Linked DNA regions of Danio rerio. The protein of the gene in region 1 interacts with the protein of each later gene in a pairwise test. Links are inferred from orthologs where the notes say so. Each region holds a gene or a part of one and is shown in the gene's direction. Other genes may lie near its edges.

Evidence for each region. The genes of interacting proteins can lie anywhere in the genome.
Region 2: the proteins of pex12 (region 1) and pex10 interact in a two-hybrid assay, tested with the Homo sapiens proteins (4 studies listed by BioGRID, with this or other methods). The link is inferred for Danio rerio from reciprocal best matches to the Homo sapiens genes PEX12 and PEX10.

Annotation. Positions count from the first base shown.
Region 1 is NC_133180.1:67,478,449-67,489,242, reverse strand, and holds pex12 (peroxisome assembly protein 12), read left to right. Parts: upstream 1-4,184; 5' UTR 4,185-4,374; coding exon 4,375-4,500; intron 4,501-6,518; coding exon 6,519-7,054; intron 7,055-8,974; coding exon 8,975-9,365; 3' UTR 9,366-9,529; downstream 9,530-10,794. Other genes in the region: uncharacterized protein, read left to right, coding at 1,220-2,109. UniProt on the Homo sapiens protein: Component of a retrotranslocation channel required for peroxisome organization by mediating export of the PEX5 receptor from peroxisomes to the cytosol, thereby promoting PEX5 recycling.
Region 2 is NC_133183.1:57,049,409-57,059,523, reverse strand, and holds the start of pex10 (peroxisome biogenesis factor 10), read left to right. Parts: upstream 1-1,368; 5' UTR 1,369-1,489; coding exon 1,490-1,601; intron 1,602-3,649; coding exon 3,650-3,730; intron 3,731-5,475; coding exon 5,476-5,864; intron 5,865-8,056; coding exon 8,057-8,229; intron 8,230-10,115.

The DNA of each region.
Region 1 (10,794 bases):
CCGATTTTTCATCGAGCTTTACACTCATGGAATTTTCATGAGAACAAGAGAACAATTGTGTTTGAGACTCACTGTATGGGAATTTCTATTATTCACCTTTAAAGGGCCATGACACCCCCCACTTTCGGTTAAAGTCTACTTTAGAATTTTTTCAAAAGATGCATGATTAATGGGCGTGGAGCTCCGCAAGCATCAGGCAGGAGTGGGCGCGGCCTGCAGGGGAGAAGGGGAGCGAACAACTGTTGATGTCAGTTAGCTCACAAAATGAGACAAACCGTGAGGAGACGCATGAGTTTATAGTTTACAAAGTTAAAATGCAAAGAAAAAAACTGGAATTTAATGCCCTACTACATTTGTTATTCGTAATCTCATATACAGACAACCACAATTTATATCATTATAAAGATAATCGTGTTCATATAAACACTATAAATAAGGACTTTTCCCTCAATCCCCGGGTCTGAACCATAGATCTTAAATGCAGACTCAGTGCAGCAGGTCTCCTGACCTGCCTATTTTAACCATTAGTCCAGCTGGTAATCGGAGGATTTAGGCAAACACAGCAGCACGGCGACGTGTCTGAATGTGAATGAACTCCTGATACAAGACAACATCCGCCATTCTCCAATTCTTGTACTGCTCTCCCGACAAAAATGCTAGCATCACACACACAGCTTTGCTGTATGATCGGCCCTGACAGGATCGCGGGGAAAAACATGCAACAAACCCCGTGGATCATGGAAACAAACACATACAAGCCTTCATAAACGGCTACTGTGTGCCGTGGGTCCGTGAACCACAGCTTGAGTTTGGCACTGGTCTGGCAGGTCTGCCTCTGCCTTGCCTTCGGAAAGCACGTGCTGTCGTGCTCTCATGAATAATTAAGTAGCCGGCTCTTCTCATAGGATAAGAAACCTCCGCTATGAATAATAATGAGAAACCGACGCGTCATCATTGTACTTGCAGTACTGCGCTACGTCACCCATTTTGATCCCGCCCCAAAAATCATTTTAAACCCGGAAGCGGAAATTAGCTGACAAAAGCTCAAAATTATCCAGTTTTCCCCACAATGAAAGCTGACAGATGCTAACATTGTCTTAACTGATGCTCAACACACACAAATCTGTTAATATATAAAAAAAAAGTTCTCCAGGGTGTCCTGAACCTTTAGAAGCTTTGAACAGTATTAACTTGAATCTTTTCTTTCATTTGATTTCAGATCTAATTGAAGCGAATGAGGGGAGTGAAGAGGAGAAACAAGTCGAAGCGGTGAAAATCCCTCATTTACAGACTTGTGGTATTTTTTTTATTGAAAGGAGAGAAAAGAAATGCTTCACCTTCACTCATTGTTGGAAGAGTTTTAGGCGACCTAATAATCACATCACAATCCACAACGGAGAGAAAGCATTCACATGCGATCGATGCGGAAAGAGTTTCACACGCAAAGAAAGGCTTAAAGAACACACGAGGATCCACACTGGAGAGAAACCCTTCGCTTGTGCTCAGTGTGGGAAGAGATTCGGATGCTCATCGAACCTTAAACAGCACATGATGACTCACACTGGAGAGAAACCACACAAATGCGATCAATGCGGCAAGACATTTTTGAAGCCGTCAGATCTGATCAGCCACCTCAGAGTTCATACAAACGAGAAGCCTTATTCGTGTTCGGTGTGTGGAAAGAGTTTCACACATCAACAGTATTTAAGAAAACATCAGAAGTTCCACTCTGGGGTGAGAGAGTACGTGTGCTTCGAGTGCGAGAAGACTTTCATTAGGGTTGAAGAATTGAAACGGCACCAGAGGATTCACACTGGAGAGAAGCCTTACAAGTGTTCACACTGCGACACCAGTTTCAGTCAGATACAACACCTCAGAACACACCAGAGGATTCACACCGGAGAGAAACCTCACAAGTGTTCACACTGCGACAAGAGATTCACTCAGTTAGGAGTCCTGAAGACACACGAGAGGATTCACACCGGAGAGAAACCGTACACGTGTGATCAGTGCTTCAGGAGTTTCACATATTCATTACAGCTCAAGAAACACATGAAAATCCACACTGGAGAAATGCGGGAGATGTCGGAAGAGAGTGTTGATGGTTGAGTGTGGAAAGTCTATCCATTTGTCTTCTATTTGATTCTGTTATTATTTAAAAAAGTTTCTGAGGTCATGGGCGTTGTTAGGCCTATTTTAGGGGGGCTGTAGCCTATAATTCTATTCAGCATCTCAAAAACTCTTACGATTAGCTCATAAACTAAACACTAAATTATCGCCTGTCCCCTTTAAATTTGATATGAAAACGGTCGAAGAATCCGGCTCCTCCCCGTCTTTCGTTTTTCATTTGATCAGCAAACCACAGCTGTGCAGAGATATTATAGATACACTTGTATAACACGTACACCAATGTCATGGAGGAGCAATCGGGTTTCCCATCTACAGTTTCATCGGTGCTCACCTCATAATCACAGCTGTTTCCTCGAAAAAGTAGCATTTATTGAACATTCATTCATTCATTTTCTTGTCGGCTTAGTCGCTTTATTAATCCGGGGTCGCCACAGCGGAATGAACCGCCAACTTATCCAGCAAGTTTTTACACAGCGGATGCCCTTCCAGCCACAACCCATCTCTGGGAAACATCCACACACACATTCACACACTATGGACAATTTAGCCTACCCAATTCACCTGTACCGCATATCTTTGGACTGTGGGGGAAACTGGAGCACCCGGAGGAAACCCACGCGAAGGCAGGGAGAACATGCAAACTCCACACAGAAACGCCAACTGAGCCGAGGTTTGATCCTGCGACCTTCTTGCTGTGAGGCAACAGCACTACCTACTGCGCTACTGCCTCGCCTCATATCGAACATTTCGCTATTTAAATTTCAAAATGAACTACCAAAATAAAACACATTAAAGTGCCTGTGGCATTAACTATACCATACAGTCTTGCTCAGAAAGGATTAAACACAGTGACAGAACCACTTAGTGAATGTACTCATTTAAACTGCCAGAGTCACTGTTAGAGATGGAAACATCAAGTGTTGTGGTATTTTAAAAAAGCCTTATTTATTATGAATCAGATCATGAAATGTGTGAATTAGCCTGTAGTTTTAATGTTTATATATGTTTAAATTCACAGTTTAATTAGAAAAGTGGCTGTTTTGATTTTTTTTAAACATGGAAGCAAAAAATGTACTTGATTATAGAAAGTGGTTTTTACTACAGTAAACAGGTGTTTTAAGCCTATTTGGCTCATTCACAACTCAAACGGCTATCTAAACATAATAGTTATAATAACTCATTTCTAATAACTGATTTATTTTATCTTTGCCATGATGACAGTAAATAATGTTTTGCTAGATATTTTTCAAGACACTTCTACAGCTTAAAGTGACTTAAAGGCTTAACTAGGTTAATAAGGTTAACTAGGCAGGCTAGGGTTATTTGGCAAGTTATTGTATTAAGATGGTTTGTTCTGTAGACTATCGAAAAAATATAGCTTAAAGGGGCTAATTATTTTGACCTTAAAATGGTTCATAAAAAATTAAAAAACTGCTTTTATTCTAGCCGAAATAAAACAAATAAGACTTTCTCCAGAAGAAAAAATATTATCAGACATGCTGTGAAAATTTCTTTGCTCTGTTAAACATAATTTGGGAAATATTTAAAAAAGAAAAAAAAATTCAAACAGGGTTTAATAGTACTGATTGCAACGTTATGCATGTATGTATGCATGTATGTATACACACACAATTTAGTTTATCCAATTCAACTATACCCGCATGTCTTTGGACTGTGGGGGAAACCGGAGCACCCAGAGGAAACACACACAAGTTTGAGGAGAACATGCAAACTCCACACAGAATTGCCAATTGACCCAGCAGGGGCTCAAACCAGCGGCTTTCTTGCCGTGAGGCGATCGTGCACCCCACTGCGCCGCTGTGACGCCACAGGTTGATATATGCAAGTGATTCATTTGATTCATCTTTAAAGGATTTATTCATATGATTCCTTTGGTTCCTTTTTATCTAAATTCAATTGTCCTATAAAATGTAAAACTCTACGAAATACACACACAGATTGTAGGTCTACAGTAGATTATCATGAACCCTCCAGCACAGCAGGTGTCAGTACAAACCCGTTTTATTGATGTTAAAGCCCCAAGAAGAAAACGCGTCTGACAGGGAAAAAAAAGTGTTGCGACAGATGATGACCGTTGACCAGTGCGTTGATTTCCAGCACTGTAACTCTCCTGAATTATTTTGTTTGGTAAAATGAGCACCATTGTCCTCATTAAAAGGCTCGACTGACGTACCTGTAGGAAGGCGTTATTGTTGTTTGCAGTAGTTTTCCTCATCAGGTGTGATGGCGGAGCGAGGAGCTCATTTAACCACAGCTGCCCCGGCTGAAGATCGACCCTCAGTGTTTGAGGTTTTAGCGCAGGACTCTTTAATGACCGCTGTCAAACCCGCTTTACTGCATGCTGTCAAGGTATGCTCGCTTTTTCATCATACTGTACTCCTGCATTTGTACTCCTTGAGTTTTGGACTGTGACGATAAATAGCGCATGGATAAAATAAATAGTCCATTTTCCCATATTATGCTCCATCGTTTACTTTGTGGCTTCTTTTTTACGGTAAAACTATCAGAATTTATGTAGGCGCATTATTACACGCCATTACGGGGATGCTGACTGAAACATCAATGACAGCATCGTGAGGAAGTTGCAATCAAATACAGTGTTTAGCAATGAGGCGAAAACAGTAAGATCAATATGAAACTACGTAAAGCGTCATTAGGAGGTAAAGCAAAAAATTGCTATTATTGGGCAGGGTTTCACAGGAATATAAGGATCCCTAGATAGTATGTCAAAGAAAGAAGATCAAAAGGAACTCAATTTAGGGCAGGTGTAAAATGTGCCTGTCTGGTTTCTTCATAAAGACTATGAGTACACTTGTAAAACACTAGTGTAATAAATGTGTCCAAAACATTATTTGGAATGTATTTCCTTTGTATTATTAATAATAATCTATTTAAAATATTACTTGTAGAATGATTCCTTTCTATTAAGGTAAAGTACAGTAAATGTATTATTTATACGTGTATATTAATTACATATATACAGTTCTCAGCATATATGAGTGCACACCTCACAGATCTCTCAGTTAAATTCACATTTTCAATAGGATGCTTTACAATATTTGTGCAAATATATTAGATTAGTCAGTTCTGAAGCCAAATTTGGAGCTAATCTAACAAAAAACTTATTACAGTCCAAAATTGGTACATACAAATGTATGTTTGGGAAAAACCATTAAATAAAGATAAAAAAGAGAAAAAATCAAGAGAAACAAAAAAATCTATAATATTTTGTTAAAATTTTGTAATTTGTTTATATTTTCTGCAATATGTCCCATAAATAATGTATCGTCCTTCCATTTCTAAAGATGTTCGATGACTAAAGCATTATTTCAATAAACATATCGGTTATGTACCAAAATATATGACCGTTATTCTCTTAAAAATGGATTAAAATATTAATTTTGCAAATGGGGTGTACTCATTTATGTTGAGCATGATGTATATATATATGTGTGTATGTATATATATATATATAGTGTACGTGAGTGCTGTAAAGGTATCAAAATGTAAAATTGTGTCGTAAAATCTAAGGTCTGCTGCAATTAACACTATTGGTGTGTCTAGCGTAATAACCCCAGGGGTCCCAATCCAATGGAAAAAGAATTAAAAGGCTAGAGCCTTTTTTTTGCATGTTGTTATTTTATGCAACTCATTCATTTTCTTGTCGGCTTAGTCCCTTTATTAATCCGGTGTCGCCACAGCGGAAGGAACCTCCAACTTATCCAGCAAGTTTTTACGCAGCGGATGCCCTTCCAGCCGCAACCCATCTCTGGGAAACATCCACACACACATTCACACACACACTCATACACTAAGGACAATTTAGTCTACCCAGTTTACCTGTATCGCATGTCTTTGGACTGTGGGGGAAACCGGAGCACCCGGAGGAAACCCGCGGGTTTTGCAGGGAAAACGCAGGGAAAACATGCAAACTCCACACAGAAACGCCAACTGAGCTGAGGCTCGACCCAGCGACCTTCTAGCTGTGAGGCGACAGCACTACCTACTGCACTACTTCTTCGATTTGATGCAACTAATAAATACTGTTTTTATCTTCTGTAGGTTATGGCTAAAATATGGTTATTCTAATAGTTTAATAACATATATGATATTTTTGGAAATCACCAAGCAACCCCTCCTCATTGTCTCATGACCCCCACTTTGGGAACCACTGGTGTATACTGCTAGCTCCAAGTAAAGCCAGCAGGCATAAGTCTCATTTAAAGAGATGGTATCAGATTGGTTTATGGTTTCACAGATGCCAGAATTTTTGCAGTATCAGCAAGTATTCCTGATACTAGTATCGGTATCGGAACAACCCTAAAAATATCCTTAAAAAATGTAACTACCGTATTTACATTCCACAGATTCTCGCTACATCTAACCCTGCCCGCTATGGAGTTCTCTGGAGGAGGTTTGATGAGATTTACGTAATCCTGGATATGTTATTGCAGCATCACTTCCTGTCCCGCACCAGCGCCTCATTTTCAGAGAACTTCTATGGCCTGAAGCGTGTGGGATCACATAGTGCCCGTGCTGCCCATTTGGGACTGCGGCGGAGGCAACACTGGCGCTCTTTACTCCTGCTGGCCCTCATTCCATACCTGCACACCAAACTGGAGAAAATCCTGGCGCGACAGAGAGACGAGGACGATTTCTCCATCCGCTTGCCGCAGTCCTTCCTGCAGAAGATGTACAGGGCGTTTTTGGCTGCGTATCCTTTCGTGTGCATGGCGTGGGACGGCTGGGTCTTCTGCCAACAGCTTTTGTACGTTTTCGGCAAAACACGGACACATTCTCCACTTCTGTGGCTTGCCGGGGTTAAACTGTCATATCTCACGGCTAATGACATACACAGTCTGGATCTCAAGCCTTCAGGCCCAGAATTGAGCTCCGGTCAAAGGTGAGTTTATTTAGTGCTTTAATTTGCAAACTATATTGCTGGGTTCATACAGCCATGGAAAACCTGGAAAAGTCATTTTGACATGGCATTTTCCAGAAAAGTGCTGAAAAATCAGGAAAAAAAACACTAAATTTAGGAAAAGTCATGGAATTCTGAGATGGCATTTCACAGAAAAGTTTTGGAAAATCAGTAAAACCCACAAAGTTTTGGAAAACTCATGTAAATATTTTTAACTAATATCTGTATATTGAATATAGGTTAGTTGTCTTCTTTTTCTGTCCCTGGGCAATCCCATACTCTAATATTCTTAGTGCTGCGTATACATTATCTATATAGAAAAATAAATGTAAACTAAATAGATTTTTGCCAGGGCAAGGTACTGTCTCGCAGCGCTCAACCTGAAAGTGAAAACTCTAGTGACCAGTTCATGAACTAGGGCCCTCACTGTTCTGGCACCCTAGGCAGCCACCTAGGTCACCTCCATGGACGCGCCGGCCCTAATTTTTGCATTTTGTTTGTTATGCTGTTATCAATTCGAACGTGCATTGTTTTTCTTATTATTTACCAAGTATACTTAAGACATTATATAAAACTTTAGGTCAAGACAATTTACTTGAAAGTCCATTAGAAAGAAATGAGACGTATTTATGTGTTCACGTCAAATTAAATTCTCAAGCGATTTTATATACATACAAAGCATATTAAAGTTTGACGTTTCAAATAACCGTTGTTGCAATAAAATGAAAAAATATTGTGGACATATTGTTCAGCTGTCATTCATCATAACATTTACACAAAAATTAAAAGATAAACTTATTTTGACCTGTACTTCTTAAAGCATGTAATATAATAAGTATGGCACAGTAAAGCCTGGTTTATACTTCTGCGTTAAGTGATCGGCGTGACCCATGGCGCATGCAACGCACGTAGCCATGCATTTATACTTCTGAGCGCTGTTTCTGTTGTTCTACAATAACACTTCCGATACACTAGTTGGCAGTGAAGTGTAAATGTTCCTCCGGTCGAGTCTCTTCGCTAGTGTTTTTTTTTAATGCTTCCTTAATGTACAAGTGGTTCAAACTCGCTCATTTTGAGGCAGGAACCGGCGGACGTGCAACAACTTTAACCATAAGGTAAACACAACAAAACTTTTCATCTGAAGCTCCTTCACGGGACTGGACACTTGTAAACAGTCGCTCCAACAGACTCACGCGGTTCTCGGTCCCACCCATACTCGTCAGTACTTCCAAGCTGACCAATCACAGAGCTTGCGCTATGCGCTGCTGCGACGTGTAGTTCGATTTTTTGAGAGGTGCAAAACAGCAACGCCGACAGCCACGGCGAGGGCTGTGCGTCCATGTGTAGGCTGCCCCATAGCATACGCATGTGCTTGACGCAGAAGTGTAAATCAGCCTTAAATTTTAATATATTTTAAATGATTAAAAACCTTTTCTTTGTGAGTATTTTTAGAGTATTTTAATATGTCATCTTGGTCCAAATTTGCAGGATTTTTTTGTCTATAAACTACTGTTACATTAAATAGCATTTAGTAGGTGCCCTCTGTAAATGAAGGTAAAAGTACACAAACTAGACACTCTAACCATTCACTTCCGCATTTGGAATGCCGATTTGATGGCTTTCATAGCAATTCTTTTAACCATGCCCCTCTTACCATTAGTTTGTTATGAGGGAATGATGTGCATAAAGAAAGCCCCGCCCCCTACTCAATATCTCACTTCAGTTGGAAGTACATTAACATGCTAAAGTCTCAGCAACTTCAGTTTCTCACAAGCATTAATTTATTTGATGCTTGAAATACATCCATTAATTAATAAATTAATCATTTTTAGTACCTTTACGTTTTTTTGCACATCAAAATATAAAGCTGTGTACTTAAACTAAATCCTATCCTGTTTGCAGCTTTGGAGAGAAATTACAGCGAGTGGTCTCGACGGCGGTCGGTGGTGTGGCGGTGTCTCTGTCCACCAGCTTGTCGATTGGCGTGTTTTTCCTGCAGTTCCTGGAATGGTGGTATTCGTCGGAAAACCAGAGCACCGTGAAGTCCTTGACCTCCCTCCCGACACCTCCTCCCCCCCTCCACCTTCACAGCCAGGAGACGTCTCACACACACATCAAAGTGTGTCCGATCTGCAGGAAAGTGCGCACCAATGACACCGCGCTGGCCACGTCCGGCTACGTGTTCTGTTACAGGTGTATATACGTGTACGTGAAAGCCAACCACAGGTGTCCCCTCACCGGCTACCCTTCAGAACTGCAGCACCTCATTAAAATATACACCCCTGACGGATAGACTGGTCATATTTCAAGATGCCCTTATGTGAATGCCCGAATTTATATAAATATTGCAAAGTGTTCAGATAACTGCTATTTCAAATGTGACCAAAATCTAAATCTGTAATGTGGTTTGAATAGACTACTAATTTATAAATAGTAATAAATTTGTACAGAAATCAATGTTGCTGACTCTTATTTAATGTAATGTGTGTATTTACAAAGTGTATTTATCGTGTATGGCCATACACCCAAGCGCTTTACTATCATGAGAGGGGGAGGTCTCCACACCACCACCAGTGTGCAGCATCCACTCGGATCATGCAACGGCAGCCACAGGACAACGGCACCAGTGCGCTCATCACACACCAGCTATTGACCTTATTCTAAAATGCGGAAGTGCGCCTGTTTTCGCGATTGTCTTAGAACTTCCGATTCTGTCACCTATGGGAGAAATGACTAGGAATAATAAACGGCAGAAAATGGCCAAACTACTTGCTCAACAAACAAATGTTTGCATGACTATACAGACCAAGTAGCATAATATAATAAGAAAATATTAAATTGCAACATCAACCAGCGTAACGAGCAGTTGTTAACGTCAAAAAATGAATGGAAGTGAATGTGACCGGAAGTCGCGAGACAAAAAGATTCAAATGGCAGCGCTCACTCGACAGCTGAGAATAAGGTGAATAGGGGAAGCGGAGAGACAGTGATAGAGCCAATTCAGCGGATGGGGATGACTGGGAGGCCATGATAGTTAAGGGCCGATGAAGGGAGTTTGGTCAGGACACCGGGGTTAAACCCAGGGGCGGATTTAGTGATTTTAAGTAATTCCAGACATGGGGCCCAAAAGTTTGTACTTTAATTTTATCTTGATTGATCTATTTTGCTTTTGTTTCGTAAATTACTCGTATATCTCCTTTTCTATATATATATTTTTAAGACTTATTTTTGGCCTTTTTTAGATAGGACAGTATTGAGACAGGAAACAAAGTGGGGGGGAAAGAGAGAGAGAGGGGGGTAGGGTAGGGAACTGTCGTCGAGCCGGGATTCGAACTCACGTCGCTCTGATGTGCTATTGCACCATATGTCGGCGCGCTAACCACTAGGTTATTGCGCCAATTCTATATTTTGTCTTAATGCAAAATAATAACATCTGACGAAACTTTTTAAATGTTTTACACCGTTCCATTCAATTTAAATGGCTTAATTAATTTATATAGAGAACATTTTTATATCGCATGCAAGAGTTAATGCTGGATTTACAGTGTCTACCATCTGTCACAGCTTGTTACAGTACAGCAAGTGTGTGGAGCAGATCAACATACAAGCCAAGACCTCACTGACTGATACATGGCGTATGAAATCATTGTTTAGTTTCTTTATATGGGCTGCTCATGAAGAATACGGTTTTAAATTCAACCATGCTATTGTTAAACATGGTA
Region 2 (10,115 bases), on another chromosome or scaffold:
TCAGGTCTGGTCTGAGCCCTTCCTCTGGAGAATTGTCATTCTATTGACCTTATTCTAAAATGCGGAAGTGCGCCTGTTTTCGCGATTGTCTTAGAACTTCCGATTCAGTCGCCTATGGGAGAAATGACTAGGAATAATAAACGGCAGAAAATGGCCGAACTACTTGCTCAACAAACAAATGTTTGCATGACTACACAGACCAAGTAGCATAATATAATAAGAAAATATTAAATTGCAACATCAAGCAGCGTAACGAGCAGTTGTTAACGTCAAAAAATGAATGGAAGTGAATGTGACCGGAAGTCGCGAGACAAAAAGAATTCAAATGGCAGCGCCCGCTCGACAGCTGAGAATAAGGTGAATAGCGATCGCTGATTGGCTCCTGTATTAGAAGGCAGCTTTATTAGCCATATCGTGATCGCTGATTGGCTGCTGTACTAGAAGGCATGGCTTTATTAGCCATATTAATAGTTACAATTTTCCCCATTTAAAAGTATACTAGTGACATGTCTTGTGTATTCTATAATCTTTGTTTCGGACGCAGCCTATGAGAAACGCTAAATATATTCATAGGACTGGCAGAGAAAAGGAAACATGAAGTATCACATTGCTATGCCAACCGTTGCGCTCTGGAACGAACAAGCAATTTTGAATGAGTAAATAAAAAAAAAAAAAAACTGTAAGTAAAAAAAAAAATACTCAATTGTTTTGTTTTAAATACTCAATAATTTTTAATGAGCTGCAGCGTACACACGACAGGTATTGGTCAAATAAAAAAGGTGAATATTAAGAAAAAAGTGAATCCATTTTTTGCCAGAGGAGATTTGAGGTAAGTTGTTACATTAGCACTCATTTCCTATAAACATATTAATAAACATTTATTCATGAATATTAACAAACAGGAAGTGCATTTTCAGATTGTCAATTTTAAGATTACAAGGATAAACTATTTTTGCACAGACGAATTGTTCCCCAACTAGCAATGTGAGCTAAGAACATCAATACGGTTAAAAATGTGTACTTTACAAATGAAGGAAAATGTTTTAGTTTGAAATTCACATAAAGAAATAGTTTTTTTTTTTTAAATAAACCTAAAATAAATGGAATGGATCGGACAATTGAACAGATCATTATAGACTCACGTCAAGTTTCAGCCCATAGAAAAATCATCCTTTGAAGCAAGCACTCTTTTGTATTTTTCTTAGAGTCACTTTTAACAATTACACCGTGATTTTGCCAGTTCGTGACAGGAAAACTCGATCTCTGGTCACTAAGCGCCTGTCACCAACCGGCCAATCGAGGGCTCTTGAGAGCGTCACGTGACTAAACACGGAAGAGATAGAAGCGTGCACAGTTATGAGAGTGAGCTAGTCTAATAACGTTCATTTTAACAACAACCGTCTTCCATATTTTGCAAAATGAAAAACATAAACTGCTAGCACATACACGTGCCCTCTAAGGAGCTGTTGAAAGTTTTACGAACGGAGCGATGCCTCTTGTTCCTGCGAACCAGCCGCAGCTGATCCGCTCCTGTCAGAAGGATGAATACTACCAGAACAACCTGACAAACAACGCCAATGAGCTCTTCCACACCTTTGCTGGTAAAACACTCCCAGGCACACTAATATTATGTTTTCAAGTTGGTTATAGGGCAAAATTTTGTATTTATGGTCTCTGGCTTATTGTTTAGCTAGCAATTAAAGTTACATCTGTTTTGACTCGCTGGACCATGTGCACTTGGAAAGAGTATCACAAATTTGGATGTTTATTTCTTAATTTGATATTATAACTATGGTATTAGGTGACCAACTTTGACAGTAAAGTTTCAATAAACAGTAAATGTGACCCAATCGACCACAGAATGTGTCTTTAGGGTCAACATTGTATTCTATATAGTAAGTACAACATTGTTGACAATCAAATATATAGTGCTAATGTTGTTTTGAAGTCATACTTGCATGTGATTTGTGGACTGAATATTCAAAGTACCATGGTAAACAATATAGGAAGCATGCGACAAGTTGTCAATGAATGAATATGTGACTATTAAACCAACTTTACCTTAATATATTTAAAGTATAATATAGAGACCTTCCAACTGTTCAAAAATGAACAAATGTGTGAATATTAAACCAAATGTATGTCAATTACTTCTGTTTTGAATCGCTGGTATGTGTGCACTTGGAAAGAGTAGCATAAAATTGGATGTTTATTTGTTAATTTGATATTATAACCATGATATTAGGTGACCGACTTTGACAGTAAAGTTTCAATAAACAGTAAATGTGACCCTGGACCACAGAGTAAGTCTTTAGGGTCTTTTTAGTATCTGGACACTATTGAGGCAAAGTTGCTTTTTTTTTAGTGGCACATTCAGACTTTTTTCTTAATAATATAATTTCAGAAAATTATTATTTGCTATTTCTATGTTTAGAAATCATATTTGCAGTCAATGAGTAATAAAGTACAACATTGTTGACAGGCAAATAAATAGTGCTAATGTTGTTTTGAAGTCATACTTGTATGTAATTTTGGACCGAATATTTAAAGTACCATGATAAACAATATAGGGAGCATGTTACAAGTTGTCAGTGAATGAATATGTGAATATAAAACCAATTTTACCTCAATTACATCTGTTTTGACCTCAATAAATGCATGATTAATTAGTTTGCCATTTAGAGGTCATATTGGGAGTAAAGAGTTTTTGTACCTTATTAATGTATTTTTTTATTTTAAAGTGTAGTAATTCATTCATTCATTCATTTTCTTTTTGGCTTAGTCCCTTTATTAATCAGGGGTTGCTACAGCAGAATGAATCACCAACTTATCCAGCATATGATTTTATGCAGCGGATTGCCTTCAAGCTGCAATCCAACACTGGGAAACACCCATACACACTCTTTCTCACAAAGTGGGGTATTTAGCTTATTCAATTCACCTATAGCGCATATTTTTGGACTGGGGGAAACCGGCGCTCCTGGAGAAAACCCATGCCAAAACATTAATAATAATAATAAAAATAATAATAAAAATAGTACTAAAACTACACTAAAATGCTTACTTCATTCATTCATTTATTTTCTTTTGGCTTAGTTTCTTATTTGCCAGAGGGCACCACAGCGTAATGATCGCAGCGGATGTCCTTCCAGCTGCTACCCAGAACTAGAAATCGTCAGCTTTATACTACCATCATAAGTTTTGAATACTTCAGCTCATCCATGGCATGAAGATGATTTGTGTAGGCGCAAACACAATATTAATTCATTTTCCACTGCACCATGACTTTAAATTTTATACTGTACACTACTTACACTATCTGTTAAGTGACAGGACTTTTGTCTAAGCAAAGTCAGACCTTACTGTCCTAATTAAATCATTAAAAATCAAGGCATGATCATATTTTATTTTGGTAAAATAAGTGTAATCTAGAGGCCTTTGCCTTTCATATTAGCCACTTCTGATACCAAATGATCAACTAGAAGTCTAGTTATCACTTGTAGTTCTCAAAACTTGGATAGGCAACAAGACTTTTGTCAGGTAGTCTATATAGTGAGTACATTTTTATTTTGGGGCAACTATCCCTTCAGTCACCATTTTTTTTTTAAAGAGCTATTTCTTCAAACCTTTCCTTTTTTGTTTCCTCAAGGTTCCAGACGTTGGCTTCAGTGGAGAAAGGAAATTGAATTATTATCTGATCTGACCTACTATATCCTAACAACTTTATCAGGTACTGTAAGTTGTGATTTTTTAATTGTTGTTTTGCATTGTATTGTTTTGTATGTTACAGCCTTATTCCAAAATGGATTAAATTCATGTATTTCCTCGATTCTACACACAATACCCCATAATGGAAATGTGAAAAAATAGTTTTTTAAATTGTTGCAAATTTATCACAGATAAAAACCCTGAAAAATCACATGTACAGAAGTATTCACAGCTGTGAAGCGCCAAAATAAGCTCAGGTACATTCTTTTTGCACTGATCATTCTTGAGATGTTTCAGCAGCTTAATTGGAGTTCACCTGTGATAAATTCAGTTGATTGGACTTGATTTGAAAAGGCATACACCTGTCTATATAAGGTCCCAGGGTTGACAGTGCATGTCAAAGCACAAACCAAGCTGAAGATAAAGGAATTATCTGTAGACCTCCGAAAAAGAATTGTCTCAAGGCAGAAGGCAGGGGAAGGTTACAGAAAAATTTCTGCTTCTCTGAAAGTTCCAATGAGCACAGTGGCCTCCCATCATCCGTAAGTGGAAGAAGTTTGGAACCACCAGGACTCTTCTTAGAGCTGGCCGGCCATCTAAGCTAAGTGATCAGGGGAGAAGAGCCTTAGTCAGGGAGGTGATCAATAACCCGATGGTCACTCTGTCTGAGCTCCAGCGTTCTTCTGTGGAGAGAGGAGAACCTTACAGAAGGACAACTATCTGTGCAGCAATCCACCAATCAGACCTGTATGATAGAGTGGCCAGATGGAAACCACTCCCTGCCTGGAATTTGCCAAAAGGCATCTGAAGGACTCTCAAACTATAAGAAACAATATTCTCTGGTCTGATGAGACTAAAATTGAACTCTTTGGAGTGAATGCCAGGTGTTACGTTTGGAGAAAACCAGGCACCGCTCATCACCAGGCTAACACCATCCCTACAGTGAAGCATGGTGGTGGCAGCATCATGCTGTGGGGATGTTTTTCAGCAGCAGGAACTGGAAGACCAGTCAGGTTAGAGGGAAAGATGAATGCAGCAATGTACAGAGACATCCTGAATGAAAACCTGCTTCAGAGTGCTCTTGACTGGGGTGATAGTTTATCTTCCAGCAGGACAATGACCCAAAGCACACCGCCAAAGTATCAATGGAGTCACTTCACAACAACTCAGTGATTGTTTTTGGGTGGCCCAGCCAGAGTCCAGACCCAAATCCTATTGTACGTTTATGGAGAGATCTGAAAAGGGCTGTACACCGTTGCTTCCCATCCAACCTGATAGAGCTTAAGAGGTACTGCAAAGAGGAATGGGCAAAAATTCCCAAAGACAGGTGTGCCAAGCTTGTGGCATCATATTCAAAAATACTTGAGGCTGTAATTTCTGGCAAAGGTGCATCAGCAAAGTATTGAGCAAAGGCTGTGAATACTGATGTACATGAGATTTTTCAAGTTTTTTATTTTTAATAAATGTGCAACAATTTCAATTTCCTTTTTTTCACATTGTCATTATGGGATATTGTGTGTAGAACTTTGAGAAAATAAATAAATTTAATCCATTTTGGAATAAGGCTGTAACAAAAAATGTGGAAAAAGTGAAGCGCTATGATACTTTCCGGATGTACTCTAGATTAACTGAGAAATTGATAAAAATATGCATTTTCAATATGGGGTGTACTCATTTATGTTGAGCACTGGATATTGCAGAATAACAACAGTTTTTACAATATCGTGCTCTCCTAATAGCATCTATATTGTTGTCCGTTTCATTCAGGATATCAGACTCTGGGTGAGGAGTACGTCAGCATCATCCAGGTGGACCCAAGCAAAAGGCGAATCCCTTCACGAATCCGCCGGACGGCACTTATCTGCTTTCACACGTTTGTGCCTTATCTTTTAGACAAGGTCTTAATCTGTGTTGAGAATGAGCTGGAAGCTGAAGCACCTCAGAACACACGCAGAACCTGGAACCCGTTATCACACATGCGGTTCTGGATCCAGAGAGCTGTGGGGCTGCTTACGGAGTCTCAGAGGAAGTCTTTGATTCCGCTTGTGTTTGCCCTGCAGCAGGGAATCACACTGCTGTACAGGCTACATGTGGCGCTCTTTTACACCACTGGAGCCTTTTACCACATTGCTAAAAGAGCTGCAGGTGTTCGTTATGTAAGTGTCTGTTCTTTTATTATTCAAATTTTTCAACCGGGGAGTAAGATAATAATTTATTATCTCACATGCTGTATTAAAGGGACAGTTCACCCAAAAATTTACATTTTTTCTTTATTTACTTGTTCCAAGACTATTTGAGTTTTCTCTGTTGAACACAAGAGAGATATTTTGAAAAAATGTTGGAAACCTGTAACTATTGACTTCCATAATAGGAAAAAAATGCTATGCAAGTAAAGAGTTACAGATTTCCAATGTGTAAGATATTTGAATAGTTAATGTCCATTAAGATAAATAACTAGCTTTAGCCTCAGACATCACCATCAACCACGGGTAAATAAAAAAAATTGGTTAAAGTCCATTCTGCAATATTTTGAAGAATGTTGGAAACCTGCAACCATTGACTTCAATAGAAGAAAAACAAATGCTACGAAAGTCAGTGCTTACAGCTTTGCAGCTTTCTTTAAAATGTCTTCATTTGTGTTCAAAAGTAGAAAGAAACCACTTCAGGGTGAGAAAATAGTGAGCAAATCTGGGTAAACTATCACTTTAAAGTGTGTTATTTTACCTTAATTATTGTAATGTGGAAGCAAGATATTTGAATAGTTAATATCTTTTAAGGTAAATAACTAGCCTTAGCATCAGACATGACAATCAACCTCTGGTTGAAGGTATGATTTATTCACACGAAAAAAAAAATATCCAAGTTTTAAATTTTTATTATCTGATTGGTTGCGATCTGTGAGATTTGTGTTAGTTATTTAGTGCAAAAAAGATATTTTGAATATATATGTCATTGAATATATTTATATATATATATATATATATATATATAATTTTTTTACTGTTTTTACTTTCTTTTTAAGATTTTACCGTTTTTACTGTATAGTCTTTTAACGATTTTACTGTGTTTTTAGAATTTTATTGTCTTTACTTTATCGTATTTTTAGGATTTTACTGTTTTTATCGTCTTTTTACAATTTTATCGTCTTTATTGTCTTTTTAGGATTTTACCGTCTTTACTTTATCGTCTTTTTATGATTTTACTGTCTTTATCGTCTTTTTACGATTTTATCGTCTTTACTTTATCATCTTTTTACGATTTTACCGTCTTTATCTTTTTTTTTACAATTTTATTGTCTTTACTTTATCGTCTTTTTACAATTTTACCGTCTTCATCATCTTTTTATGATTTTATCGTCTTTACTTTATTGTCTTTTTACGATTTTACCATCTTTATCGTCTTTTTACTATTTTATCGTCTTTACTTTATCATCTTTTTACGATTTTACCGTCTTTATCATCTTTTTATGATTTTATGGTCTTTACTTTGTCTTTTTACGATTTTACCGTCTTTATCTTTTTTTTACGATTTTATCGTCTTTACTTTATCGTCTTTTTATGATTTTACCGTCTGTTTTGTCTTTTTATGATTTTACCATATTTACTTTATCGTCTTTTTACGATTTTACCGTCTTCATAGTCTTTTTACGATTTTAGTGTCTTTACTTTTTTTGACAGCAGCATGTCAGTACAATTATAAAAGAAAATTTGCACAAAATGTTTACTTTAGTGCATCGCGTCATCAGCTGCTAAAAAATCTATTCAATTTGGTGCAGAACTAGAGAAAGAGGTGCGTGGTGCTTGCAGAGTGCAGTGGTCTCAAACCCTTGAGCCACAGACCGGCACCGGTCTATAGATCAGTTGGTAAGCGGTCGCACATAAAAATCATTAATTATTTTCCTTTTATTTATAGTCTTAGTCTGAACGATTATTTATTTTGAAAAATGACCATATTCTCTTGTTACATCTCGGTCACTTGAGTGCCAAAATTTAACCCACAGGCTAGCAAAATTAGTAAGAACTGCAGCACGACGCGCTTACATATTCCAGGGGTCCCCAGTTGAAAACATCTTAACTTTTTCAGGATGCTGCACCTCGAGTCACGTGACAAGAACCGACTGATCAGCTTCAAATTTTGTACGGAATATGATTTTGTTGAATGAATATGACTCTGCCTCGTCTTCGAACCGTGCTGTGCTGTAGATGCTTAATTTGGCCAACTGTTTATTATGGTGGTAGTTGGAGAGACAATTTTTTCTGAGGTGGTACTTGGTGAAAAAAGTTTGAGAACCACTGGTTTAGAGATTTAAATTGTCTACTCTGCGTAACTGTGAGTATGTTTTGTTTAGCTAAGAGTGGGAAATGCGTCCGGCGATGACCCCAGGATCAGTCACAGTTACCGTCTGCTGGGTGGCCTGTCTGTTCTCCAGCTGGCCATCACTCTCACACTGCAGTTCAACAACCTCAGGCAACGACAAAGAGCTCGGCATGAATGGAAACAGCACAGAAACCTTCTCCCCAGGTGTACAGCTCTGCACATAAAGCACTGCATGTTGTCTGATGATTCAACCTTTCATATTCCTACAGTTTTTTTATTAACTGTAAAAAATGCTTGGTTCCACACAATTTATTTATGTTGTCCCAAAACAAATCGATTAAGTTAACAAAAAAAACATCAAACTAAAACTGATAAATGTGATAATACTTTTCAGTTATGGACTTAAGCAAATATACAGTGCATACGGAAAGTATTCATAGCGCATTTCCACATTTTTTTGAAGTTACAGCCTTATTCCAAAATGGATTAAATTAATTTATTTCCTCAAAATTCTACACGCAATACCCCATAATGACAATGTGAAAAAATATTTTTTTAATTGTTGCAAATTTATTTTAAAATAAAAAACCTGAAAAAAAAATCACATGTACAGAAGTATTAACAGCCTTTGCCGTGAAGCTCTAAATTGAGCTCAGGTACATTCTTTTTGCACTGATCATTCTTGAGATGTTGCAGCAGCTTAATTGGAGTTCACCTGTGGTAAATTCAGTTGATTGGACATGATTTGAAAAGGCATACACCTGTCTATATCAGGTCCCTGGGTTGACAGTGCATGTCAAAGCACAAACCAAGCATGAAGACAAAGGAATTGTCTGTAGACCTCCGAAAAAGGATTGTCTCGAGGCACAAGGCAGGGGAAGGTTACAGAAAAATTTCTGCTTCTCTGAAAGTTCCAATGAGCACAGTGGCCTCTATCATCTGTAAGTGGAAAATGTTTGGAACCACCAGGACTCTTCGTAGAGCTGGCCGGCCATCTAAGCTGAGTGATCGGGGAGAATAGCCTTAATCAGGGAGGTGATCGATAACCCAATGAAAGGGTTGGGTATCGTTTTTTTTTTACGTTTTTTTTTTTCGATACCGGTGCTAAATCGATACTTTTAAAATGATACCGGTGCCTGAACCGATACTTTTGAGCCACAAAATTAGGGTGGATGACTCTAGAAAAATCTTTTATTTAACAAAATCTTTAAAAAAAAATCTTTTATCAGAACAATATAATTTAGACATGCTCCAACTCTACCTGTTTTTAAAAAGCGTTTGAAACACCATCTTTGTTCTTTAGTATTTGAGCCTTTTTAATGTTGAGGGATTTGCCTTATGTTTTAATTGTTATTTATGTGATGTAGATTTCATGTTTAGTATTGATTGTGTTCAGCACTTTGGCCAACGTTGTGTTGTAAAAAATGTGCTATATAAACAAACTAAACTAAACTAATTAAAGTTTTAAGTAAACATCAATTCAAATTTTATATATTTAAATTACATTAATATATTGTCTTTGATGGAGTGAATGCCAGGCGTTACGTCCGGAGAAAACCAGACACCGCTCATCACCAGGCTAACATCATCCTTACAGTGAAGCATGGTGGTGGCAGCATCATGCTATGGGGATGTTTTACAGCAGCAGGAACTGGAAGACTAGTCAGGATAGAGGGAAAGATGAATGCAGCAATGTACATCCTGAATGAAAACCTGCTCTTGACTTCAGACTGGGTCGACGGTTCAACTTCCAGCAGGGCAATGACCCAAAGCACACCGCCAAAATATCAATGGAGTGGCTTCACAACAACTTGGTGAATGTCCTTGAGTGGCCCAGCCAGAGCCCAGATCTAAATCCTATTGAGCATCTCTGGAGAGACCTGCAAATATCTGTACACTGTCGCTTCCTATCCAACCTGATAGAGCTTGAGAGGTACAGGAATGGGCAAAAATTCCCAAAGACAGGTGTGCCAAGCTTGTGGCGTCTTATCCAAAAAGACTTGAGGCTGTTATTGCTGCCAAAGGTGCATCAACAAAGTATTGAGCAAAGGCTGTGAACACTGATGTACATGTGATTTGTATATATATAT